7 linked regions of the Macaca mulatta genome follow. The protein of the gene in region 1 binds, or shares a complex with, the protein of each later gene. Links are inferred from orthologs where the notes say so. Each region holds a gene or a part of one and is shown in the gene's direction. Other genes may lie near its edges. The genes, in order: PPP1CA, PPP1R7, WDR82, MRAS, PHACTR1, TOX4 and CDCA2.

Region 1 (4,102 bases):
GGCCCACCTCCAGTTCTGAGGTTACTGGCATGTAAAGCACCCAACTCAGGGTTCCAACAAGAATTAAGGTTAATTTATCGTCTGCTCCTTTGAGACAGAGTCTCACACTGTCACCTCGGCTAGGGGGTGCAATGGGCCTTGGCCCACTGCAACCTCCGCCTCCCAGGTTCAAGTGATTCTCCTGCCTCAGCCTCCCCAATAGCTGAGATTACAGGCGGCTGCCATCATGCCCAGCTAACTTTTTGTATTTTTAGAGAGATGGGGTTTCACCATGTTGGCCAGGCTGGTCTTGAACTCCTGACCTCAAACGATCCTCCCACCTCAGCCTCCCAAAGCGCTGGAATTACAGGCGTGAGCCACTGCACCCAGCCATGTCTGCTCATATAGTAATTCTTTTTACGTGCACACCCTGCAATATTACTGTGCTACTCAAAAGCTAATTATGGGGCCAGGCTTGTTGGCTCACGCCTGTAACCCCCCCAGGACTTTGGGAGGTCGAGGCCAGTGGATCACTTGAGGTTAGGAGTTCAAGACCAGCCGGGCCAATATGGCGAAACCCCACCTCTGCTAAACACACAAAAACCAGGCGCAGTGGCGCGCGCCTGCAATCCCAGCTACTCCAGAGGCTGAGGCAGGAGAACCCCTTGAACCTGGGAAGCGAATGTTGCAGTGAGCCAAAGTCGCGCCACTGCACTCCAGCTTAGGCGACAGAGCAAAACTCTGTCTCAAAAAAAATAAATAAATAAAAGCTAATTATGGGACTTGTAAGAAAATATTAATTTATCATGCCCCAAGGACCAAAGTGCGCTGGAAGTTCAGCCGTAGCTGTCTTTGAGTGTGGTCAGCCGCCTGGGGGCCACGGAGACCCACGAAAAAGGGGGTCGTACGTGAATGCGAGGTCCAGGTCTTGCACCAGTCTGTTCATATCTCTTGAGCCTCAGTTTCCTTTCCTGCACTTCGAGCAGTTAACCCTCAGTGCCTAGCAGCCGGTTATTAATATATTCACAACACCCTCCACCCAGGGCAGGGGTGGGAACGGCTGTTCTGCTTTTGAAAGAGAAAAACAACTTCCACAGTTCTTCCGGCCCCACATCCTCTGAACCGGGCTGGGCGCCTCCTCTGGGGCGTAACCAGTTGGACGCGCCCCCGACAGACCCCGCCGCCAAGGCCCCGCCCCCCAGGCCGCGGCGCTTCACGTCCAGCGGGGGCGCTAGAGCGCGGGGGACCGGGCGGGGCGGGCCCGGGAGGCCCGGAGGCGGGGCCGCGGGCCGGGGGCGGACTGGGGCGGGCGGAAGGAGAGCCAGGCCGGAAGGAGGCTGCCGGAGGGCGGGAGGCAGGAGCGGGCCCGGAGCTGCTGGGCTGGAGCGGCGGCGCCGCCATGTCCGATAGCGAGAAGCTCAACCTTGACTCGATCATCGGGCGCCTGCTAGAAGGTTGGTCGCGGCGGGGGAGGCCTGCGTCCGCCGCTCCCGGGCCCCCTGCCGGGCCCGGAAGTGGCGCGCGGGCGGGCCCCCGGGGCCAGCTTAGACTGGGCGGGGACGGGCCGCGAGGTTCGGTGGCCGCAGCCGCCCCCCCGCGGACGCGCCTGAGAGGTCCTGGGCCCGCTCCGACGCGCGGAGCAGCCCCCTCTCCCGGGCCGGGGGCGCACGGGTTGCCTGGGTTCTTGAGGCGAGGGAGAAACCCGGGAAGCCCGGTCCAGGAAGGGGTCCTGCGCTGTGAGGTGTTTGGGTGGCAGCCCCCTGCGCACGACAGTCGCCTCCCGAGGCGCTGAGGGTAGTTGGGGGCTTCCCTTGGGAGGCTTGAGGCCGAGGTCCCGGGAGGCTCAGCAGCAACAGCTGCCTGCGGGCAAGGAGCGGCCGAGGAGGCCTAGGCGCCCCCGGAGGTATCCATGGGGCCACCCGTGTCGCCCACCCTCCACCTGTCAGGGTCCCGGGTCTTGACACCCCATTGCGCCCCCAGTGCAGGGCTCGCGGCCTGGCAAGAATGTACAGCTGACAGAGAACGAGATCCGCGGCCTGTGCCTGAAATCCCGGGAGATTTTCCTGAGCCAGCCCATTCTTCTGGAGCTGGAGGCACCCCTCAAGATCTGCGGTGAGCCCCCCGACCCAGGTCCCCTTGCTTTCCTGAAAGTGGCACTGGCCCCCACAGAGTTCCTGGAGTCCTCCTCCCTTGAGCCCAGTCCTGGTCCTGGGTTCAGGTCTAGACCCTGCATCTAGCTTACCCGATTCCCTGGGTCACAGGTGATATACACGGCCAGTACTATGACCTTCTGCGACTATTTGAGTATGGCGGTTTCCCTCCGGAGAGCAACTACCTCTTTCTGGGGGACTATGTGGACAGGGGCAAGCAGTCCTTGGAGACCATCTGCCTGCTGCTGGCCTATAAGATCAAGTACCCCGAGAACTTCTTCCTGCTCCGTGGGAACCACGAGTGCGCCAGCATCAACCGCATCTACGGTTTCTACGATGAGTGTGAGTGGTCTGAGCGTCTGGGGCTGCCCGGGTCCTGAACCACACTCCTTGTCATTCAGTGGGACCTTCACATTGGCCTGATATCTGACAGACACTTGCTAGACTGTGCACTCCACGAAGGCAGGGCCCAGGTCCGTTCTTGTGCCTGCCCTGCCCCTCCTGGCATGGGGTCTGGGGAATGGTTGCTGACTGAAGGACTGTCCGTATTCTAGTGCTTTCCCCCAGGGCCCTGCCTGGTGACGTTCCCTCTACATTTGCTACTAAGCATTTAGGATGTTTGCAGATGAGCTCTGCTGTCCAGAAGCTGAGATAAACCAGACCTGTACTTGGCCCGGCTCGTGGGCCGGGGCGTGCAAGGAGTGCCAACCCTGAGGCTGGTCCAGATTGGAACTCAGTTTCCAGTGGACTCGGGTGCTTTAGAATTACTTCTGGTGGGAGGCTGAGGCGGGAAGATCACTTGGACTCAGAAGCTCCAAGTTACAGTGAGCTATGATCTTGCCACTGCACTCCAGCCTGGGTGACTGAACAAGACCCTGTTTCTTTACTTTTTTGAGACGGAGTTTCGCTCTTGTTGCCCAGGCTGGAGTGCAGTGGTGTGATCTCAGTTCACTACAACCTCCATCTCCCGGGTTCAAGCGATTCTCCTGCCTCAGCCTCCCGAGTAGCTGGGATTACAGGCATGCGACACCACGCCTGGCTAATTTTTTTGTATTTTAGTAGAGACAGGGTTTCTCCATGTTGGTCAGGCTGGTCTTGAACTTCTGACCTCAGGTGATCTGCCTGCTTCAGCCTCCCAAAGTGCTGGGATTACAGGTGTGAGCCACCATGCCCTGCCCAGATCCTGTTTGTTTAAATTACAAATTAAAATAAAAAGTAACTAGAATTACTCCTGGAAGGCTGACAGGCGGCAGGGGTGGGGGTGGTTTGCATTGGTGCCTGACTCTCTCCCATCTGCGGCTGAATAGCCCAGAGACCCCGGCTAAGGGTGGAGCAGGCAGACCCCTCACAGCTACCTCCCTCTGGGCAGGCAAGAGACGCTACAACATCAAACTGTGGAAAACGTTCACTGACTGCTTCAACTGCCTGCCCATTGCGGCCATAGTGGACGAAAAGATCTTTTGCTGCCACGGAGGTGAGCTCTCCTTAGTTGTCATCTGGGAAGTCACTCCTTTCAGGAAGTGTCTCCCATACCCCCCTGTGCTGGGCTGCACTCACTTCCTTGATGTGCATCCTACATGGGGCGGGCTTGTCTCCTTTCTCCCAGGAGCTCTGTGCTCCGGAGGCCAGGGGCGCCTTTGTGCCTGTTTGGGAACTTGAAAAAGCTGAGGGGAAGGGGATGGCTTCTGCCTGCCTAGGCACCCAGGAGACCAGTGGAGGGACCAGGAGGGTGGTGGAAAAGGTGAGGCTCACTGGCCAAGGCTTCCTGGAGGAAGGATGTCCTTGTTTGAGGAAGTGACCTTCCTTCTGGCCCTCCAGGCCTCTCCCCGGACCTGCAGTCCATGGAGCAGATTCGGCGGATCATGCGGCCCACAGACGTGCCTGACCAGGGCCTGCTGTGTGACCTGCTGTGGTCTGACCCTGACAAGGACGTGCAGGGCTGGGGCGAGAACGACCGTGGCGTCTCTTTTACC
Region 2 (3,500 bases), on another chromosome or scaffold:
TTCAGCACATATGCTGAAGTAGGTTCCAATGAAATGAAATGAGGAAGTGCTTAACAGGGAGTCTGTCGCCTCAGCAGGGAGAGCAGCTCTCTCTGCCTCCGCACAGAGGAGGCTGGCTCCGGTGTGGAGAGTCCTCGTGAAATCCAATGGGCTTCTCTGCTGGAGTGAGTTCATCAGTCTCCCCATTGAGAAGTGTGTTTAAATTATTCAGTGAGCCTCTTTGATCCTATCTGTTGAACTATGTTTTGTTTTGTTTTGCTCTTTGCAGAGGGAAGTGTTTGTAGATGCTGGGCCACCTTCCAAAGTGATAAAAGGCCCATCCTAGAGCATCTGATGTGCCCAGCACGATCTAGATTCTAATGGCCTGGTTTATTGCCACAAACAAACAGAGAAAAGCTACGTAGGAGGCAGGCTGCTGCCAGTTCTGCGGCTCTGGGAGTCACGGAAAGGCAGTAGTGCTGCCCTGCTCACCTGCACTCAGCTACTTCCTCCCCTCCTTCCCACTAACAGCTTCAAAACACATTTCCCTTCTCTGGAAGTTCAAAGGCACAGATGAATGTTTGGAGACCTTTGCCAATATCTGAATTCAGGGAAATCAGAATGCTTAAAACATCACTATTGTTGGAGCAGGGTTCACCCTTGCCACATTCTCCAGGTCCTCAGCAAACTTTCTCATTGGTTCCTCCTCAGGGTTTGAGCTGGATCTGGGCACCAAACAGCCCTAGACCTCGGCCAGAAGCAGCTCTTCACCAATGCCTCCTGTTAATGGGGTTCTGAACAAACCTCTTTTTCTAATTTTTTTCAGAAGAACATGAGCTGCCTGTGGACATGGAAACCATCAACCTGGACAGAGATGCAGAGGTAATGCTGCCTGCTCAGCCCAGCCTTGAGCATGGTGATGGACCACCTGTCAGGTTATCTTGTATGAGATTAGTAAGTTACTTCCCTAAAGAGGTTGCCTGAGCCTCCCTTGGTTGGATCAGAGTCCTGTGTTCATGTTGTTTTTCTTACCAGTGATTGTTATCCCCATGTCTATTTGACCCTTGAGGATTGTGTGGCAGATGAGATGCCTTTGACTCATACATTCTCTGGGTCTGATGATTACATTATACATGAGGGTCCCAACAGCCGCAGGCTGTGTATGACTGGCCTGGCCACTGGGCCTCCTGAGCCCCCAGCGTGTCTCTGATGGTGATGGGATGGGGTGCATATCCTAAGAGCCTGAGCTTATGTTTTGTGCATACAGGGTCTAGGGAATGAGAAAAAGATGTCATGTACCAATCATTTTAAGGGCCAGTTTTACATAAAACTAAGTCATCACTAAACCAAAGAGCCCCCGCAGCACACCTTGTCACCGACACCTGTCTGCTGCAGACCCACCTGGCACTGCCTCCCCCACTGCTGCCCACTCCTAGGCCTCCTCTGATGGCTCCTCTTCTAGGACACAGGTCTCCAGCCACTTTGCTATAGCCGAGTATACATTTCCGCTTTGTTTCAGGATGTTGATTTGAATCACTGTCGCATTGGGAAGATTGAAGGATTTGAGGTACTGAAGAAAGTGAAGGTGAGAGGGACTCTTATGAGGGGACTATGACCCATATCACCCATAGGATGTGGATAAGTCCAGAATCGAGCCATCAGTCCCAAGTTGTGGTCTTTGTCTCAGCCTGTGGGAGGCATGGCTGCCTCCACCTTGTAGCAGGCCTTTACTGGGAGCACAGCAAGTGTGAGACAGCAGTCGAGGGACTTGAGGCACAGCCCTGGGGCTGGCTCTCCTGAGCTCAGGCGGCCAGTGACCTGTGACTCTGGCCTGCCTCAGTTCTGTGCCTGTGTTCAATTAGGCACTCAGTGAATTTTATGGTCCTCCGTGCATCTCATCTGAATTTGTTTCTCAAAATTGAGCCCACCATAGGTTCTTATGTTCTGCCAGGAAGTGGCAAACACCCATACCCCAGGCCAACGCCTCCCTCCTCAACTAGGCCTGCTTGGTGGGGGGCCTGCCTCCTGCTTCCTTTTGGGTTCCTGCCCATCCTCAGGTGTGTCGAGGAATTCTAGCTTGGTGCCCTTGCCCACCTACCTCTCAAAGGTCAGCACCTTTCTAGGAAACAGCAGGAGAATGAAGACACGTCCTTCCACCAGAAGGGCCTGTCCTGTGTCCTCCAGTACCAGCTGAGGCCTTCTCGTGGCCTCCCCCGTGCCGGTGTCAATTGTCCTTTTCCCATCCCCCAGACTCTCTGCCTCCGCCAAAATTTAATTAAATGCATTGAGAATCTGGAGGAGCTACAGAGTCTTCGAGAGCTGGATCTTTACGACAACCAGATCAAGAAGATTGAGAATCTGGAGGCGCTAACAGAGCTGGAGTGAGTCATGAGACCCACAGGAGAACAGCATGGTGGGGAGGCCACTGGGTGGGGGTGTCCAGTCTCTCCAGAGCCCCCCTCCTGCTGGCTCTTGGCCCTTGAGAGGCTGCCTCTGCCACAGGGTCCTGCCCTGCGTCTGAATCCCAAGGCTCTGCCTGCCATGTTCAGGGCTCCAGGAGGCCACGTTGGCTTCACGCATGTCTTCGGCTTCCTGGACAATCCTGACTTGCAAAGTAAACCTTTGATGGGAAGGCTGCAGTGGGGACTTCTGGAAAAGCCTCCATTCAGGGATGATACTGAGATTGGTCGAGGGGAAAGTTAATCCAGAATTTCCTCTTGCCTTTTGAATACTCTTTTTTTAAATTAAAAAAAAAAAAAAGTGACATTTATAATTTAAGGAGTCAGGTTCTACGCCAGGTGCAGTGGTGCATACCTGTAATGTCAGCGCTTTGGGAGATCAAATTAGGAGGATCACTAGCCCAGAAGTTTGAGATAGCCTGGGCAACATAACAAGACCCTGTCTACAAAAATTAAAATTAAAAAAGAAGGAGCCAGGTCCTAGTTATAACTTTACCTGGATTTCTGCCCTCTGTTGCTCATTCATTTTTGCTTGTTTTGTTTCTAATTCGGTACTTCTCAGGCCCCTTCTGTGTGCAGAGCCTGGTGCAAGGTCCTGTCATGGGCACAGGTGTGAATGTAACAGTTTCTGCCTCAAATACCATCCTGGGAGCCAGGGCATCAGGAGCCTGTAGGCTGCCTCTGGCTTGCTCCGGGCTCCTGGGCAGCCTCCAAATCCCTCATGACAGCATCAGTGTGAGCCAGGCGGCAGCAGGGGCACAGACCGCACCCCCTGCCCCACCCCACCCCACCCTGCCCCGTCCCACAGTGACTGCAGTCCCCTAATGGGGTGCTACCTTTAGGGTGGTTGAATTGTGAGTTCTCTGCAACCTATGCTCATGTAATTTTTTTAAAAACCTGTTTTGGTTGTTCTCAGGATTCTAGATATTTCTTTTAATCTGCTGAGAAACATCGAAGGGGTTGACAAGTTGACACGACTGAAAAAACTCTTCTTGGTCAACAATAAAATCAGTAAAATTGAGAACTTAAGCAACTTACATCAACTACAGATGCTAGAGCTGG
Region 3 (3,033 bases), on another chromosome or scaffold:
CTCCATGTTGTTGCACGAGGCAGTACTTTATTACTTTTTATTGCCAAATAATATTCCAGTGTATAGATATAGCACATTTGTTTGTCCATCCATTAGTTAATGGACATTTGGGTTATTTCTACTTTTTGGCTATTATGAATAATGCAGCTCTGAACATATGTGTACATTTTTGTGTGGACATGTATTTTCAGTTATCTTGGGTAAATACCTAGGAGTGGAATTTCTGGGTCACATGGTAACTCTTGTTTTTTTGGAAAAACTTTTCCAGAGCAACTGTACCATTTTTACATTTTCATTAGCAATGTATGAAGGTTCCAATTTCTCTATGTCCTCACCAATACTTGTTGTCTCTCTTTTTATAGCTATGCTGGAGGGTGTGGAGTAGTATCTCATTGTGGTTTTGATTTGCATTGGAATCATATATTTTTATTTTGTAGCTTTATTATTATTTTTTTTTTTTTGCATTATACTAGTTGTCTTTGTTCCAGATATGGTTGTGGTATGTGTGTTTTAGTGTGCTTCTTAAAATGGCAATTTCAGGAGAACAGATACATATATATAGGCAGAGTGGTTTAGAATTCACATCCAATTTTTGCTAATATTTCGCATCAACTCCTATTTATCTCGATGTATTGCAGGGTGGTGGCCTTGTCCATGTCACCTGTGGATGACACTTTCATTTCTGGGTCTCTAGATAAGACCATTCGACTCTGGGATCTCCGGTCTCCTAACTGCCAGGTAATGGTACCTCACAGTTACGCTTTTTGAGCATTTTCTATGGTAGGCCCTATAATGAACTCTACCTCTCAAAGAAGGGAGAAAACAGTGGTTCCATTCTGGGATCCCAGGGTCTTTTTAAATTTTGGAGAAAATCTGTTTTCTTAGTTGGTAGCTGCTAAGCAAATACCCTAATCTAGTGCAGATTGCATTGTACTCTGTGGCTTGTTGTGGGGTTTTTGTTGTTTTGTTTTGTTTTTGTTTTGGTTTTCGTTTTGAGACCGGGTTTTGCTGTTGTTGCCCAGGCTGGAGTGCAATGGTGCGATCTCGGCTCACCGCAACCTCCACCTCCAGGGTTCAAGCGATTCTTCTGCCTCAACCTCCCAAGTAGCTGGGATTACAGGCATGCATCACCATGTCCGGCTAATTTTGTATTTTTAGTAGAGACGGGGTTTCTCCATGTTGGTCAGGGTGGTCTCCCGACCTCAGGTGATCCGCCCACCTTGGCCTCCCAAAGTTCTGGAATTGTAGGTGTGAGCCACTGTGCCCAGCCAGCTTAATGTTTTAAAAGTGTTCCTAGAGCTTTTAGCTTCAAGGGATTTATTTTTATTTGAATTCTGTGTCTGTAATATTGTGCAGTTAGAGTTGATCAGAAATTATCTGGAGACCTGTTTTTTAAAAGCTTCATTTTAGTTTTATGTTTGCTTTTTCTGTTCTGTAGGTAGACTGATATCTGTTTGTATGCCTTTCTTAGTTTTAATTGGGACAAGTAAATTATATAGTGGTAGGGTCCTGGATTCATTTTTTTCCCCATTGTACTAGCAGTCTTTGGTTGTTCCAGGTGTGGTTGTGGTATGTGTGTTTTAGTGTATTTCTTATTTCTTTTCTTTTAGGGCCTCATGCATCTGCAGGGGAAGCCAGTTTGTTCTTTTGATCCAGAAGGGTTAATTTTCGCTGCAGGTGTCAACTCTGAAATGGTCAAACTTTATGACCTTCGTTCTTTTGACAAGGTAAATCTTTGAATCTTTGAGCTATCTTAATATTATGGTGAAATAGACATGTAACTGCTTTTTTTTTTTTTTTTTTTTTTTTTTTTTTTTTTTTTTTTGAGACAAGAATTTTGCTTTTGTTGTCCAAGCTGGAGTGCAGTGGTGCAATCTCAGCTCACTGCAGCCTCTGCCTCCCAGGTTCAAGTGATTCTCCTACCTCAGCCTCCCAAGTAGTTGGGATTACACAAGCCCGCCACCACGCCTGGCTAATTTTTTGTATTTAGTAGAGACGGGGTTTCACCATGTTGGTCAGGCTGCTCTCAAACTCCTCACCTCTGGTGATCCACCCACCTCAGCCTCCCAAAGTGCTGGGATTACAGGCGCGAGCCACCACGCCTGGCCCTGTAAGAGCATTTTCTACAAAAAGAAAAATATGGTAGATATTAGAGAGTGGCAGAGAAGTAGCTCATTCTCTGCTTTCCTTAGTCAAAAAGGAATCTAAAGGAATAGGATGGGAATTGGCTCTAGCAGAAGAAATTGTTAATATGCCTTGGGCCTGGGGCTACTATTTTTTATCTTTTGCAGGGGCCATTTGCTACCTTTAAGATGCAATATGATCGAACTTGTGAGTGGACAGGACTTAAATTCAGCAATGATGGCAAGCTCATCCTCATTTCCACCAACGGCAGCTTCATTCGTCTCATTGATGCATTCAAAGGAGTGGTGATGCACACGTTTGGGGTGAGCTGATGGCCTTCAAGCATGGCTGTTTCCATGCTTATACTTCCTATGCTAAGAATTATGTTAGCTGGTTGGTGGAGACCAACAGTTACTCTTGACTTACTCATGAAGGCATGCACTTGTATTTTTTCTTCCTGCTCATTGAACTTACCTCCCTTGGATTCTGTAGACATTCATTTCTCACCAAGTGACCCAAGTTTGGTATTTAGATATAAAATAATGTCCTAAAAATAAAGTTTTCTTGCTCCCTTGAGTGTACCTTGAATACAGAGTTGAAGGTGGGAGTGGATTGTCAAGGATGGCAACCACATTTGGAAGCTTGGTGGTGTAGTACATGACAAGGAAAGGGTTTCATGGAAAGGAAGGTGATGCATGTGCTAAGTTAGTGTTTGTAGGCAGCTGTTTTTATTAACGGCTCTGTAACAACAAAAGAACTGCTCTGTTTTGTTTTAGGGTTATGCCAATAGCAAAGCTGTCACACTGGAGGCTTCATTTACTCCAGACTCTCAGTTTATTATGATTGGTGAGTTTCCTTTATCCCCTGTGGGGGTTATTTCTCTGGTACTATGCATTTTTTTGTTTAAAT
Region 4 (3,500 bases), on another chromosome or scaffold:
CCCTCGAGGCCTCACCATTGGCCTTGCAGTGGACCTGAGGCTTCAAGCCAAGACAGCCAGCAGCCCCCAGGCCCTTTCCCCTAACCCTAACCTCTCTCTGGAAAGGAGGAGGGAAGGGACTGCAGTCCAGGCTGACTGGGGAGGTGCTGTAGGCTGACTGTGCTATGCCTGAGATGTGGCTGCGCCACCTTAACTAGGTGTGAGGGGTGGTGGAAACCTTACAGAGCTGCTATTCCTTTGTTTCCCAGGGAGTCATTCCCGATGATCCTCGTGGCCAACAAGGTCGATTTGATGCACTTAAGGAAAATCACCAGGGAGCAAGGAAAAGAAATGGCGACCAAACACAATGTAGGTGTGTGCGTGTGTGTAGAGGGGGTCAGGAGATGTGTAAAAGCTGTTGCCTGGTCACCCCTGCAGTCCTGGTCTTTGGGAATGAAACTATTGTTTATTGAAGGGCTCCCCTTAGTTTAAGTCTTGTTGCTGCTGAAATCCTGCAATTCCAGGAATCCAGGTAATGCACATCAGTGTTTCTTCAGTGGTAGAGGCAGATCCCCTAGAAAGAAAGTAGAAGGTGTCTGGGACCTGGGGGGGATCATACAACTCAGGGACTTCTGAGCGATGGGGTGGGACCACAGGTGGCAGTGGTCTGAGGCCCTGGAGCCTGGGCCATTACTGAGCCGGCAGGAGTACAGGATGTGAAGGGGCTCCAGGTAGGTCCCAGCTCAAGTTGCAGTGCCTTCCTGCCTCCCCTGGGTGTGTGCGGGGAAGCACGTTGTCCTGACTCACAAGGGCCCCGTAGGACTGTACTGGCCACTTATCAGGGGCACTTGCCATGGCTGGATTTGGTGTCCAGCCGGAAGAGGCTCCAAAGCAGACCTCAGCACCTCTTACCAGGGCCAGGAGAAAGTGGAAAGTGTGCCCGGTTCAAACCCTGATGCTCTGCCGGCTGCTGTTGACCTTGAGCAAGTGCGTCACTCTGAGCTCAGTCTCCTGAGCTGCAGAATGGAGATACTTGCTTACCTCAGAGGGTTAATGTGAAGACTAAATGAGGTCAGGGATAGTGAGACCTGGAAAGCCAAACAGCCCACAATGAAGAGCAGTTTCCATTTAGTGTTATCAGAGGCTCAAATATTTGTCCAATGAATATTTCAAAGGCTTAAGCTCTGCCTTTTGTGCTCTGCCCTTTGTGTGTCTGTTGGCTACAGCAGAAGTGTGCACATCTGACCTCACGTGATGATGATGGATGGGAAGATACTGACTGGTTTGTGTTCTGGGCAGTGATTTACAATCTACTCCTCTAGAACAACAGCTTACCCTGTCACCCTCCTCCATGCATTTGAAGTGTTATTTTTCTTTTCCCCACTGTGCTTTTCTTTTTCCAGCATATTATAATGAAAGGCATTAATTTTGTAATCAGAAAAAACTTATGAAAAATCACCAAGTTATTCAGTCTAATCACACTCAGTTTACTTCCATCTGTCTCATCAAGCGAGGCCTGTGTGTTCCCCACCCTGCTCCCCGCCTTTGGGGAACGAACACTTCCTGCCTTGGCGGGGTCCCTGCTGTAGGAGAAGGTGAGCGCTCAGGAGTGAGTGTGTGCTGACCTCATAGAGTCTTTGTTCTCCTCCCTCTGCCAGCCCGAGGCTTGGTGCAGATCTGGCCCTGGAAACCTGCTCTGTGGGGCCACCATGGTCACATCTCCCGCTGTCTGCACCTTTTCGGCCGGGTGATGATTTCTCAGCATTGAACGTGCAGACAAAAACCTTGTGTAAACATGGCTGAGCTCCTAGGCTCATAGATACAGACCAAACAAGAGCTGGGCCGGGGTGGGGGCCAGCACAGATGGGCCAGGGTCACCTGGGCCCAGAGTCTTGGTCATGGCCCAGTCTCTCCTCAGCCTTTTCTACCAGTGTCCACTCTGGAGGGGCCCAGAAAGAGGGGCAGAAGTCATCCCAAGGTGGAGAAACAGACCTCAGAAAGAAAAATGGGTAGAATCAGAATGTATTTTAGTTTAATAAATGAAACAGTTTTTCATCTTCAAGTATGTAAAAAGATCACTTTATTCTATTTTTAGGGAGCTATTAAGTATCTCTGTGCCTAGAGAACAAGAGGGAATTGGAAAAGCCATTAGTAACACTTTCCAACCTGAAAGAGTGAGAAGCCCCAAGTGATGCCTGAGGCTGTTGGGGGCTGGGGCTTCTGTGGCGTGTTTTGAAAGCACCTGGGTTCCTCAGAACCTCTGAGCATTTTTAAGGGTGGAACGGGGCTTTGAGGATCTCTGTGCCACTTTGACCAAGTTGAGCTTTGCCTTCCAGATTCCGTACATAGAAACCAGTGCCAAGGACCCACCTCTCAATGTCGACAAAGCCTTCCATGACCTCGTGAGAGTAATTAGGTGAGCACTGCCCCCTCCCTAGAAGCGGGCCTCCACAGCATGGGTTGGCTCCTGGAGGCAGCTGGGAGCTTGAGGAAGCAGCTCCTCTTCTGAGGCCATGAGACTGTAGAATTCTGGGCCTATGTTTGGATTTCTTGTCCCTCCTTCCGTTTCTTTCTTTTGCTCTTTCCACCCACCTCTGCCCTCCCCACAGCTGCTGACGGGTTTGTGGGTGAAGTCTGCTGCACGTGCTAAGTGGAAATGCCTTCCTGTCTGAGGCAGCGGCTCAGGCTCCCTGGAAGGCAGCTCCCTGCAGCCTGGCTTCAGTGTTCTCCTCACGCCAAAGCTTTCAACACCGTACAAACTAGGTCTCTCTCCTCTTCCATGTCCTGATATCAGAGCACCCTTTGATATTTCCCCTGAACAACCAATATTCTGATTCCAAGGTTCAAATTTCAGAGGCATTGCACACGTATCTCCTTTCCTGACCCCATCAGCTGTCAATCTCCAAGTATTGTCAGCAATCCTAATGAAAGTTTCTTGTACATTCCTTTGCATGGTCAGGGTCCAGATCTTAATCACCTCATGCACTCATGACTAAAACAGCCTCCTGGCTGCATCTCCTGTCACCAATCTATCGCATTTCCCAACTCTTCAACATGCACAGCAGCCTAACCAGTGGGTCTCAGACACTGTGCGTTGAGTTTGTGGCCTGTATGCTGGCGCCTCCAAGGGCTGCTGGTGAGCTGTGAGATCAGCCCCGGGGCTGTAACCCCCACTATACACACATCCCCCAACATGCTTAAAAAGCTCATCTTCTCATTATTCCCCAGCATAATGAGGAAATATTACAGTCTTCACTTTATGTTCTGGCTGGCAGTTTTGCACTCTCAAAATGATTTTCTCATCCAGGTGTGGTGGCTCATTTCTGTAATCCCAGCACTCAGAGGCAAAGGTGGAGGTGGAGGAAAGAGGATTGCTTGAGGCTAGGAGTTCAAGACCAGCCTGGGCAACATAGTGAAGTGCCATCTTTACAAAAGGAAAGAAACTATTTTATCTTAGGCATTTTGCCTCCAATTAGGACGTGCTGCCATCAGGTAGCCTATGGTGATGTCTTGGTTGTGAA
Region 5 (2,973 bases), on another chromosome or scaffold:
AGGCAGGGGGGACGGCACCAGAGGCGGCTGAGCCCCTGATCCCCAGAGATTCCTGCCTTTGGCTGAGAGGGAGCTGCAGGCCTGCCTTGGCCCTGTCCGGGATCTGTCACCACTCTATTTGATACCTGCCAGCCATCTATTTGATACCTGCCAGCCATCCTCTAATTGTGCTCTGCCAGCATGGGAGCAAGTTGGAACATTCTCGCACCAGCCAAGGGTGTCTGGAAGCTGCCTGTTGCAGAGTTGAAACTGCCAGGGTAGTTTGGACTCCACTGTGTTTGTTTTATGGGCCTGAGTTGCAAGATTCTATGAGACAGTGTCTTCTAATAATAGAATTACACAGCGTTTAGGGCTTGGAGGGAAAATTGCTTTTAAGTAGCACTGGTTGAACATCAGTTGACAGCATCTTAAAGACAGCAATTGTGTTGCTCCAGGAGAAATAAACCTAGTGACAGGAAGAGATAATAGAAATGTCAGCCTTGTGTTGCTAAAGTAGAGGAAGGGGTCCTTATGGCTAATATCGGGAGATGGCAAAATACATATGAATCTTCCTTTTACTTGCCTCATCTCTCATTCCTGCAGTCCTTCATCAGGGACCATCCAAAGGGCTGGTCCTGAGTCACCTTTGGCATAAATGTGGCCTTTTTCTGTACTTACTCAGCTCCGCATTTGTTGACTGACCTTCCCCTTGAACTTCTTGCAGAGGGCTGTCACCAACGTTTGGGCTGACCTCTTCAGCCAGCAGATTCCCATCCCACATACCCCGAGTTTGCATACCATTTTCACATACGCTTTTTTGCATCTAAAATACACACAAAATGTATTGCAAACCCATCTTGCAGAAGGCATTCAATGTGACACACAGATGTGGACTTGCAAATCCAAAATAAGACAGAATCATTGTAGAATATCCCTGTCACCTGGCGGGAGTAGGACAGATAAGAAGAAATCCACAACAGGAGCCCACAGCCAAACAGAAAGACAAGCTTCTAGTAACGACTGGGACTCAGCAATGTCATGAAGATAGAGACTGTTTACTATCGATTTGTATAGGTGTAAACACAGTATTGTGAATATGCTTTAGTCCTGATCTTTTTATATTCTATACTGAAATATGCACAGGTAAAATGATATGATGCCTGCAATTTGTTTCAAAGAAATCCACATGTGAATGTAGTCAAGAGTCGATCATTGTTGGTGATAGTACACCAAATTTATGATATTAGTCTCCTTCCTTCTTTTGAAAATTTACATAATAAAAGTTTTTTTTTAAGTTGAAAAAAAAAAAAGATAGAGGTTGGCCTAGAGGGTATGTAAGGGATAACAAAGCTCTCTCTTAGGACTGAGAAAGGGCCCGGTCCCAAGAGTCAGGAGACTTGGGTCCCCCTACCCCGGCCCTCCCCCTGCCCCTGCCCCTCACTCACTATGCAACGCATCCATTGCCTCACTGAACCTTATTTTCCACACCTGCAAGTTCACAGACAGGACCGAGTGCCATGGTCAACCCGTCTGGCTGACTGGGTCTGTCTCTCTCCCTCCCTGCAGCTCAGTCAAAGGCCCACCGTGGAAGAGCTTCGGGAAAGAAAGATCCTCATCCGCTTCAGTGACTACGTGGAGGTGGCTGACGCTCAGGACTATGACCGCAGGGCAGATAAGCCGTGGACCCGCCTCACTGCTGCAGACAAAGTAAGCAGAGGGGAGTGCTGGAGAGTGGGAGGCAAGATCATCTGCTGGGTGTCCCGCCGGGCTCACCGCTGGGGAGTGTGTAGGGAGACCCGCATCCAGGCCTCAGCTGCAGTTCCCGTAATGGAGTGTTGGGACCCCAACACCTTTCCCCAGGGGCCACAGATAATCTGCAGAAAGGCTGCTGAATCGAAGAAAACACAAGGCACATAATACTGTGCCCGTTTTACAGGAGGAGGAGCAGCAGCCTAGGAGGCTGTGCCCAGAGAACGAGAATAGCACTGGATAGGCGTAGACAGGTGAAGGCACGAGGCTCTGGGCTCATCACAGTCCTTCCGTGTAGGGGACACTGCTGCCGGCATCCAACGGGGGATTCACCAAACCAAAAGAAAAGACAAAGTGGACACGTAACCTCAGGAGAGAAATAGGCACAAATCAAAGAGACGTCGCAAAACATATCTCACTGCACTAGACCCTCGCCGATTCAGAAAACAAAAAGAATAATCTGAAGTTCAGTTTGTTTTTTAGGAAAAGCAGTGATGCCAATGAGAAATCATTTTCTCTGTCCACTAGACGAGGCATCAGAATGAACCTCTGTTTGGTAATCCTCTCTGATTCTAGTCTGGTCACCATGAGGAGCTGGAGGGTTAAGGGCCTTTTGTAAAATGTAGTCTGTGCGCCGGGCGCGGTGGCTCACGCCTGTAATCCCAGCACTTTGGGAGGCTGAGGCGGGTAAATCACTTGAGGTCAGGAGTTCAAGACCAGCCTGACCAACATGATGAAACCCCATCTCTGTTAAAAATACAAAATTAGCCGGGCGTGATGGCACGCACCTGTAATCCCAGCTGCTCGGGAGGCTGAGGCAGGAGAATTGCTTGAACCCAGGAGGCGGAGGTTGCAGGGAGCCAAGATCGCACCACTGCACTCCAGCCTGGATGACAAGAGTGAAACTCCATCTCAAAAACAAACAAACAAACATATATATAAATTTATTATATATATAACAAATATGTATATTTGTTAAATATATTTATAAATATATATATTTATTATATATAATATATATAGAGAGAGAGAGTCTGGAATAATGATTCAGCCTAATGTGTAGGTGACGATAGAAGTCAACAGTCTCAACAGTCCTGCCTTCACTCTGTCCGTTTCAGGGACCTGGGGTTTTCTTATATGATTCAGCAGGAAGTCATCTACGGCCCAGGCTGGCTACATTATCACCAACCCTGGATCCAGGAGTTGCAGGAAACATGGATGCAGGCACATTGCCGCACTCGGGTG
Region 6 (3,500 bases), on another chromosome or scaffold:
ATGGTTATTAAGCCATTATATGTATCAGGCAATGTGCTAAGCTTTTATGCATGAAATCTCACTTATCCTAATAATAACCATATAAGGGGATTACCATTGTAATTCCCATTTTACAGATGAAGAAAACTTGTTCAAGGTCTTGTACCCAGGTCTCTCTGATAGCAGTCTCTTGCTATTATTTATAATTGTCTATTGTTGCAAATGCCACCATTTAGATTTCAGTGTCAAAACAGAACCATAGCACTTAACATATCTTAGATCATATCTTGGTCTGTTAGCTGCATGAGTGGTGGCCTCATTCAGAAGAGAAAGAATGTATTATTATTGACCTAGTTGGACTCACAGGAAGAGATTGGGTCTTTAGCCAGCTGGAGTAATCCTTTTCCTCTCTTAGAGAGAAGCTTGTTCAGCAAGACTAGCATTTTTGGCATTGTTGAGGTTTTCTGAAAATCGTATACAAATGGGAATCTTGGTCGGGCGCAGTGGCTCACGCCTGTAATCCTAGCACTTTGGGAGGCCAGGGTGGGTGGATCACGAGGTCAGGAGATCGAGACCATCCTGGCTAGCACGGTGAAACTCCGTCTCTACTAAAAATACAAAAAAATTAGCCGGGCGTGGTGGTGGGCGCCTGTAGTCCCAGCTACATTGGAAGCTGAGGCTGGAGAATGGCCTGAACCCGGGAGGCGGAGCTTTCAGTGAGTGGAGATCGAGCCACTGCATTCCAGCGTGGGCGACAGAGCGAGACTCTGTCTCAAAAAAAAACAAAAAAAACAAATGGGAATTTTTAGTTGTTAACATTATAATTTCTAAAGTGGAGAAGAAGTAGGAAACTCTAAGTGCAAATATTTTAGAGGGGGATAAAGTTTCCATGACAGTACATTTTAGCATCTGTTTGAAAGGAACCTAAAACAACAAAGTACAATTGGCTGGCTGACAGCAAATTTCTGTGGCCTAACAGTTTAGTTGTAATAATTGTGAAATAACTGCTCTATTAGAATCTTTAGAGAGATTTCAAGGATCATAGTAAGCAGGTTATAAAGGCTGTATTCTAAGTAATGGTACTGGAAGAATTTTTCATTAGAACAATAGGCATAATTTAGGACAAAAGAGTGGTAATGGTAGAAAAGAGATAAAAGAATTGAAAATTGTGACTGATGTTAGCAGCCTTGAATGCACCAAGTGACCAAGGGTATCAGAAGAGAGATTGGTAAAAATAATAGGTTCTAAGAAATTGATTATAAAATAGGATCCTAAGCAGAAAAAATGTACCCTGAGAATCTCTAGTACCCCATTATGTTCTTCACTTAGTAGTATGCCATTTCTCCTCTTTTCGCTAATTCTTTTCCCCCTTTTTTCCCTACAGACATTCCATACACCAAGCTTGGGAGATGAGGAATTTGAAATCCCACCTATCTCCTTGGATTCTGATCCCTCATTGGCTGTCTCAGATGTGGTTGGCCACTTTGATGACCTGGCAGACCCTTCCTCTTCACAGGATGGCAGTTTTTCAGCCCAGTATGGGGTCCAGACATTGGACATGCCTGTGGGCATGACCCATGGCTTGATGGAGCAGGGCGGGGGGCTCCTGAGTGGGGGCTTGACCATGGTAAGGGGCAAGAGATTGTCAGGCTTACCCCAGCTAACAGGCATGGCATTAGGGGAGACAAAAGTTACTGTATTCCCTACTACACTTGGGTATTACTTGTGTGTCTTCTTGTGGCTAAAGGCTCACCAACAAAGACTTAGTTTCACCTGAATAAATGAAATTTACCATGTAGGTAGATTTTACTTGAAAAATAATTTAAAATTGTACAATGTCTGGTTAGAAAATTATTGTGGTTTTTGGGAAAGTGTTTTCTGCTTTTATTATGACCTTCACATCCTAGGATTCAAATTTGAATGTGATAGCTGGCACGTGGAGGGATTTATTAAAAAATGGTCTGAATCATGTTGAGAAGCCAGCAGATCAGAGCTTTTTTTTAAAAAAAAGGTCTGAGTCAAATATAGTATTGTAGATTACTATGTAATATAAATCAGTATGTTGGGCTTCTGGCACATGAAACCAGTAGCACATCTTCACACTCTATATTTGATGCCAAACTTCTGTAATATTGGCCTATTTATGCTGACTGCCTGTGTATTATTTTAAAAGCTATTATTTTGGGAGGGTACAGACAGGAAGTTTTTCTTTACTCAATGTGTTGTCCCTACTTATAGATTACTGAGTAAGTTGATAGCTCTTTAACTTCTCCAACAGTATGACTTCTCTGATTATTTTTAGTTCTTCTTTAGAGTGCAAAGAAGTAAATTCATTAATTTCTGTACTTTTTAAAAAAGCTTATGTTTTTATTTTCAGTTTTGAAGACTATTTTATGTTTTGTATTTTAAATGATACAATCTGGGTAGGCAGGGAATTTATAAGCTATCTTAAATTTAGGGGGGAAAGTGGTGTTTTTTTATATTTACTGTTTAATTAGTCCTTCTGCTTCTCTCAGGACTTGGACCACTCTATAGGAACTCAGTATAGTGCCAACCCACCTGTTACAATTGATGTACCAATGACAGACATGACATCTGGCTTGATGGGGCATAGCCAGTTGACCACCATTGATCAGTCAGAACTGAGTTCCCAACTGGGTTTGAGCTTAGGGGGTGGCACCATCCTACCACCTGCCCAGTCACCTGAAGATCGTCTTTCAACCACGCCTTCACCTACTAGTTCACTTCATGAGGATGGTGTTGAGGATTTCCGGAGGGTGAGGCATTCCCTGCCAAAATCAATTCTGCTGTGATATTCTAGGATAAAATTCTTGGGATACAGAGCTTAATCAGTATTCTTTAGCCTTACCATGCCATCTCCTCTGCTCTTTTCTGGGTATGGGGTTCCACCTACCAATTTCCAGTTTATAATTCTCTCAATCCCTATTCTTATTGGTTCTCCATACTTGACCAGTGTCTTTTAACGCTATTTCCATGATTTTTAGCATTTCTGAAAATTCCATACATGTGGCTAGTTTCCAGACATAATACTTGTCATCATCCATTGTGTAATTCTTTTTCTCTCTTAACAGCAACTTCCCAGCCAGAAGACAGTGGTGGTGGAAGCAGGGAAAAAGCAGAAGGCCCCAAAGAAGAGAAAAAAGAAAGATCCTAATGAACCTCAGAAACCAGTTTCGGCATATGCTTTATTCTTTCGTGATACACAGGCTGCCATCAAGGGACAGAATCCTAATGCCACTTTTGGTGAGGTTTCAAAAATTGTGGCCTCCATGTGGGATAGTCTTGGAGAGGAGCAAAAACAGGTGAGCAAATGTTAAGGAACTAGTAGTGAATGTTCCAAAAGTTTTTAAAGAGATAAAAATAGAGGTTTTCGGCTGGGCGCGGTGGCTCAAGCCTGTAATCCCAGCACTTTGGGAGGCCGAGACGGGCGGATCATGAGGTCAGGAGATCGAGACCATCCTGGCTAACACGGTGAAACCCCGTCTCTACTAAAATATACA
Region 7 (3,012 bases), on another chromosome or scaffold:
ACTGATATGGCACTGAGAATTGAATGTAATACTCCATTCTGGATATATTAAGTGACTTTTAATTTTTATGGAAACCTACATTTTCCATCAATTAATGTCAGACCTTTGTCTTCCATCTTCTGCTTGTGCTTGTTAAAATCCATTTTGTTTTGACTGAATCTTGATTAAATCATCTGTTGTTTGAATCTGCAGATTCAGCTAGCTTTGTGTTTTCTTCATATTTTACATACACACCTACTGTTTCTTCATCCAGACCTAGGAGCATAAAGCAGTCTCCCATAGCTTGCAGTATGTAACTCACACTAGGTTAATCCTGAGTCATCATAACTGTGTGCTGCTTACAAATATCTTATGACGTTACATTCATGTAGTTAGTTCTAAAGCATCTCATATAATTTTTCATTTATCCAGCCCTTGTTTTGGCAAGTGCCTTGTGGAAATGTAGAAAGCTACCATACAATTTATAAACCGAATCCTGCTTTGTAGTTTATTTGACTTTGTGGAAGTTACATGACTTCCTACCCTCGTTTTAGATGCTTACAATTTTAAACGAAATATAAAAGTGATCTATTCAATAAAGCACTGTATAAACAATAATTAGAGATATTATAGAAGTTGAAGGGTCAGGCTGGGCATTATGGCTCACACTTGTAATCCCAGCACTTTGGGAGGCCAAGGCAAGAGGATCGCTTGAGCTCAGGAATTTGAGGCAAGCCTGGGCAACATGGTGAGACCCCATCTCTACCAAAAATACAAAATAAAAAGCCGGTCGTGGTGGTGTGCACCTGTGGTCCCAGCTACTTGGGAGGCTGATGGGAGGATTGATTGAGCAGGGGGGCAGAAGTTGCAGTGAGCCGAGATTGTGCCACTGCACTCCAGCCTGGATTCTCATCCAGGCCTTGTCTGAAAAAATAATAATAATAATAACTAGTTAAAGGGTCAAAGTTTTACGTGGTGCTACATCTTTCTCAATTGCAATGTTTTAATGCATTTTCTCAGGTTTTAAAAAGTTGCAGAAAGAAGAAAGGAAAGGGAAAGAAAAGTGTTCAGAAATCTTTATATGGGGAAAGAGACATTGCTTCTAAGAAGCCCCTCCTCAGTCCTATTCCTGAGCTGCCTGAAGTCTCTGAGATGACACCTTCAGTTCCAAGCATCCGAAGACTGGGTTCAGGTATCCTCACCTTTTCCTGGTAGTTATATTTTATCTTTTCTCGTCACCTTCTTCGTTGCTATTTTACTTTTTTCACTTTTTTCCCATTCACTATGTAAAGAGTACGTAAATTTAAAAAGCAACGTTTCCTTACATTACCATGAGCATTTCTAGTGGAGGAAAGAGAGTCACTTTTAACTTGTAGGTGGCTTAGACCCTTTTCAGAATCTGATGGAAACTCTGGATCCTTTCCCCAGGAAAACCAAGACACAAGATTTTGCTTATAATATCAGTAATAATTTCTGTGCATCCTATTTCCTTTTGCTTTTTAAAGCATTTTGTGAAAATAAATTCCATTTGGTGGTGTAGTCCATCGTTGAAAGTGAACGAGAGCTGGATGCAGTGAACGAGAGCTGGGGCACCTGCCTGTGATCCCAACCATTTGAGAGCCTAAGGCGGAAGGATTGCTTGAGCTCAGGAGTTTGAGGCCAGCCTGGGCAACCTAGCAAGACCCTGTCTTTAAAAAAAAAGGAACAAAAAATGTGAACGAGGTTATGGTTCAGTAATATGTATACCTTATATGAGTTAAGGATGTTTTGTTAGAGTTGGCACTACTGAGCGTTTTCTAAAAATAATACATATAAGTTGCGCTTGATTACCTTGAAAGTTATTTTATTATCAAGTCAGTTGATATATGGGGTAGATAAAAAATGGAATTGTTTCTGGTTTCTAATGCCCAAATTTTAAACGTACTGGATCTTGATGAAAATAATAAGGATTTTTTTTTTTTTTTTTTTTAATTTTTAGTAGAGATAGGGTGTCCCTGTGTTGCCCAGGCTGGTCTTGAACTCCTGGGCTCAATCAGTCTTCCTGCCTCAGCCTCCGAAAGTACTGAGATTACAGACACGAGCCACGCTGTCTTGCCTGAAAATGATAATGTGTGTCCACTTGGTGTGTTGATTTGTATAGAATCATTTTTTAAATGACTACCTTTGTCAATCATCAGATATTTGTAGCCTGCCTCCTATTTGCAGAATACCATACAAGATTAATAATAGACTTGAGGATGAATGAGGTACATGCCACCATAGACTCTTGGCTTCTGCGTCCTGCTTAACATTAGGGTAGCACAGGAGTTTAAATAAACAGCCACCCCTCTGTCGCACATGTCCTGGCACACACTCTTCTCCTGCCATGCTTTCTCACAGGCTGTGTTGCGACAGGGCATCCACCACTCTACCTCTTTTTAATCTGACCTAATGTTGCTTATCTTCCAAGATTTTGCTGTACTGTCTGTTTTTCCAGGAATACTCTGCAACATACTTCTATCACCTGGTTTTATGATTATCTATTTTCTGTGTTCCCCTGTTCCCTAAAACTTCAGTCTCCTTGAGAGTGGAAACTAAGTCTTATTTTCATTACATCTCTGGTTCTAACAGGAGTTTTTCAAAAGATTTTTAAACAGTGATTGTAGTAAAATTTTCCATCTTGCATCCTATTAGAGACTTTATTTTTAAAAATACCTAAAGCATTTTTTATCTGTAACCAGTGGTATCACCTGCTACATGGATTTAAAGCAATTCAGCTCCTTCCTTCCTTTATCTCTTTCTCCTTTCCTATCTCCCTATATCTCCTTTACCTTCCTTCTCTAGTATGTTGGATTTTATGCGAAATATATATCTTTTTGTTTGTTAGTTAGTTAGTTTGTTTGTTTGTTTTTTGAGATGGAGTCTCACTCTGTCGCCCAGGCTGGAGTGCAGTGGCTCAGTGTTGGCTCACTGCAACCTCCACCTCCTGGATTCCAGCAATTCTCCTGCCTCAGCCTCCCAGGTAACTGGGACTACAAGCACGTGCCACAACGC

The links.
Region 2: the proteins of PPP1CA (region 1) and PPP1R7 are in contact, whole or in part, in a crystal structure (PDB 8U5G), measured with the Homo sapiens proteins. The link is inferred for Macaca mulatta from reciprocal best matches to the Homo sapiens genes PPP1CA and PPP1R7. Residues at the interface, in NP_002699.1 of Homo sapiens: Arg23, Pro24, Leu40, Arg43, Arg96, Gly97, Lys98, Ala128, Ser129, Ile130, Asn131, Arg132, Ile133, Tyr134, Gly135, Tyr137, Asp138, Lys141, Arg142, Ile146, Lys147, Trp149, Lys150, Asp154, Asn157, Pro192, Thr193, Asp194, Asn271, Cys273; in NP_002703.1 of Homo sapiens: Asn84, His85, Tyr86, Arg87, Arg106, Gln107, Leu109, Tyr128, Asp129, Gln131, Asp148, Ser150, Phe151, Phe170, Val172, Glu192, Gly194, Ser195, Phe214, Gly216, Lys217, Ser236, Gln238, Ser239, Tyr258, His261, Ser283, Glu300, Trp302, Asn304.
Region 3: PPP1CA (region 1) and WDR82 share a complex: the UniProt entries of both Homo sapiens proteins name them as parts of the PNUTS-PP1 phosphatase complex. The link is inferred for Macaca mulatta from reciprocal best matches to the Homo sapiens genes PPP1CA and WDR82.
Region 4: the proteins of PPP1CA (region 1) and MRAS are in contact, whole or in part, in a crystal structure (PDB 7TXH), measured with the Homo sapiens proteins. The link is inferred for Macaca mulatta from reciprocal best matches to the Homo sapiens genes PPP1CA and MRAS. Residues at the interface, in NP_002699.1 of Homo sapiens: Pro178, Asp179, Gln181, Gln185, Arg188, Ile189, Met190, Pro192, Thr193, Pro196, Asp197, Gln198, Trp216, Gly217, Glu218, Phe225; in NP_001078518.1 of Homo sapiens: Val6, Pro7, Ile31, Gln35, Lys36, Ile37, Val39, Asp48, Ser49, Tyr50, Leu51, Lys52, His53.
Region 5: the proteins of PPP1CA (region 1) and PHACTR1 are in contact, whole or in part, in a crystal structure (PDB 6ZEG), measured with the Homo sapiens proteins. The link is inferred for Macaca mulatta from reciprocal best matches to the Homo sapiens genes PPP1CA and PHACTR1. Residues at the interface, in NP_002699.1 of Homo sapiens: Pro24, Arg43, Gln68, Tyr70, Asp71, Arg74, Tyr78, Arg96, Gly97, Lys98, Ala128, Ser129, Arg132, Ile133, Tyr134, Gly135, Tyr137, Asp138, Trp149, Lys150, Thr153, Asp154, Asn157, Lys168, Ile169, Met190, Arg191, Pro192, Thr193, Asp194; in NP_001309240.1 of Homo sapiens: Arg424, Lys425, Ile426, Leu427, Ile428, Arg429, Phe430, Ser431, Asp432, Tyr433, Val434, Glu435, Val436, Ala437, Asp438, Ala439, Gln440, Tyr442, Asp443, Arg444, Arg445, Ala446, Lys448, Pro449, Trp450, Leu453, Lys458, Ile461, Arg462, Glu464.
Region 6: PPP1CA (region 1) and TOX4 share a complex: the UniProt entries of both Homo sapiens proteins name them as parts of the PNUTS-PP1 phosphatase complex. The link is inferred for Macaca mulatta from reciprocal best matches to the Homo sapiens genes PPP1CA and TOX4.
Region 7: the proteins of PPP1CA (region 1) and CDCA2 are in contact, whole or in part, in a crystal structure (PDB 5IOH), measured with the Homo sapiens proteins. The link is inferred for Macaca mulatta from reciprocal best matches to the Homo sapiens genes PPP1CA and CDCA2. Residues at the interface, in NP_002699.1 of Homo sapiens: Gln20, Gly21, Ser22, Pro24, Tyr70, Asp71, Leu73, Arg74, Glu77, Tyr78, Asp166, Lys168, Ile169, Asp242, Leu243, Tyr255, Phe257, Arg261, Pro270, Ser284, Glu287, Thr288, Leu289, Met290, Cys291, Ser292, Phe293, Gln294, Ile295, Leu296; in NP_689775.2 of Homo sapiens: Lys391, Arg392, Val393, Thr394, Phe395, Gly396, Asp398, Leu399, Ser400, Pro401, Glu402, Val403, Phe404, Asp405, Glu406, Ser407, Leu408, Pro409, Ala410, Asn411, Leu414, Gly417, Gly418, Thr419, Pro420, Val421, Lys423.

Annotation. Positions count from the first base shown.
Region 1 is NC_133419.1:6,982,069-6,986,170, forward strand, and holds the start of PPP1CA (serine/threonine-protein phosphatase PP1-alpha catalytic subunit), read left to right. Parts: upstream 1-1,302; 5' UTR 1,303-1,378; coding exon 1,379-1,433; intron 1,434-1,959; coding exon 1,960-2,091; intron 2,092-2,240; coding exon 2,241-2,471; intron 2,472-3,498; coding exon 3,499-3,603; intron 3,604-3,947; coding exon 3,948-4,102. UniProt on the Homo sapiens protein: Protein phosphatase that associates with over 200 regulatory proteins to form highly specific holoenzymes which dephosphorylate hundreds of biological targets.
Region 2 is NC_133417.1:146,428,249-146,431,748, forward strand, and holds part of PPP1R7 (protein phosphatase 1 regulatory subunit 7), read left to right. Parts: intron 1-805; coding exon 806-861; intron 862-1,498; coding exon 1,499-1,564; intron 1,565-2,229; coding exon 2,230-2,360; intron 2,361-3,354; coding exon 3,355-3,500. UniProt on the Homo sapiens protein: Regulatory subunit of protein phosphatase 1.
Region 3 is NC_133407.1:115,789,816-115,792,848, reverse strand, and holds part of WDR82 (WD repeat-containing protein 82), read left to right. Parts: intron 1-638; coding exon 639-738; intron 739-1,610; coding exon 1,611-1,727; intron 1,728-2,291; coding exon 2,292-2,447; intron 2,448-2,900; coding exon 2,901-2,970; intron 2,971-3,033. UniProt on the Homo sapiens protein: Regulatory component of the SET1/COMPASS complex implicated in the tethering of this complex to transcriptional start sites of active genes.
Region 4 is NC_133407.1:41,398,178-41,401,677, forward strand, and holds part of MRAS (ras-related protein M-Ras), read left to right. Parts: intron 1-248; coding exon 249-348; coding exon of another isoform or gene 349-352; intron 353-2,315; coding exon 2,316-2,395; intron 2,396-3,500. UniProt on the Homo sapiens protein: Signal transducer in the Ras-MAPK signaling pathway that regulates cell proliferation and survival. Core component of the SHOC2-MRAS-PP1c (SMP) holophosphatase complex that regulates the MAPK pathway activation.
Region 5 is NC_133409.1:169,832,778-169,835,750, reverse strand, and holds part of PHACTR1 (phosphatase and actin regulator 1), read left to right. Parts: intron 1-1,545; coding exon 1,546-1,686; intron 1,687-2,973. UniProt on the Homo sapiens protein: Binds actin monomers (G actin) and plays a role in multiple processes including the regulation of actin cytoskeleton dynamics, actin stress fibers formation, cell motility and survival, formation of tubules by endothelial cells, and regulation of PPP1CA activity.
Region 6 is NC_133412.1:94,349,340-94,352,839, forward strand, and holds part of TOX4 (TOX high mobility group box family member 4), read left to right. Parts: intron 1-1,363; coding exon 1,364-1,606; intron 1,607-2,495; coding exon 2,496-2,756; intron 2,757-3,071; coding exon 3,072-3,302; intron 3,303-3,500. UniProt on the Homo sapiens protein: Transcription factor that modulates cell fate reprogramming from the somatic state to the pluripotent and neuronal fate. In liver, controls the expression of hormone-regulated gluconeogenic genes such as G6PC1 and PCK1.
Region 7 is NC_133413.1:27,250,485-27,253,496, forward strand, and holds part of CDCA2 (cell division cycle-associated protein 2), read left to right. Parts: intron 1-999; coding exon 1,000-1,171; intron 1,172-3,012. UniProt on the Homo sapiens protein: Regulator of chromosome structure during mitosis required for condensin-depleted chromosomes to retain their compact architecture through anaphase.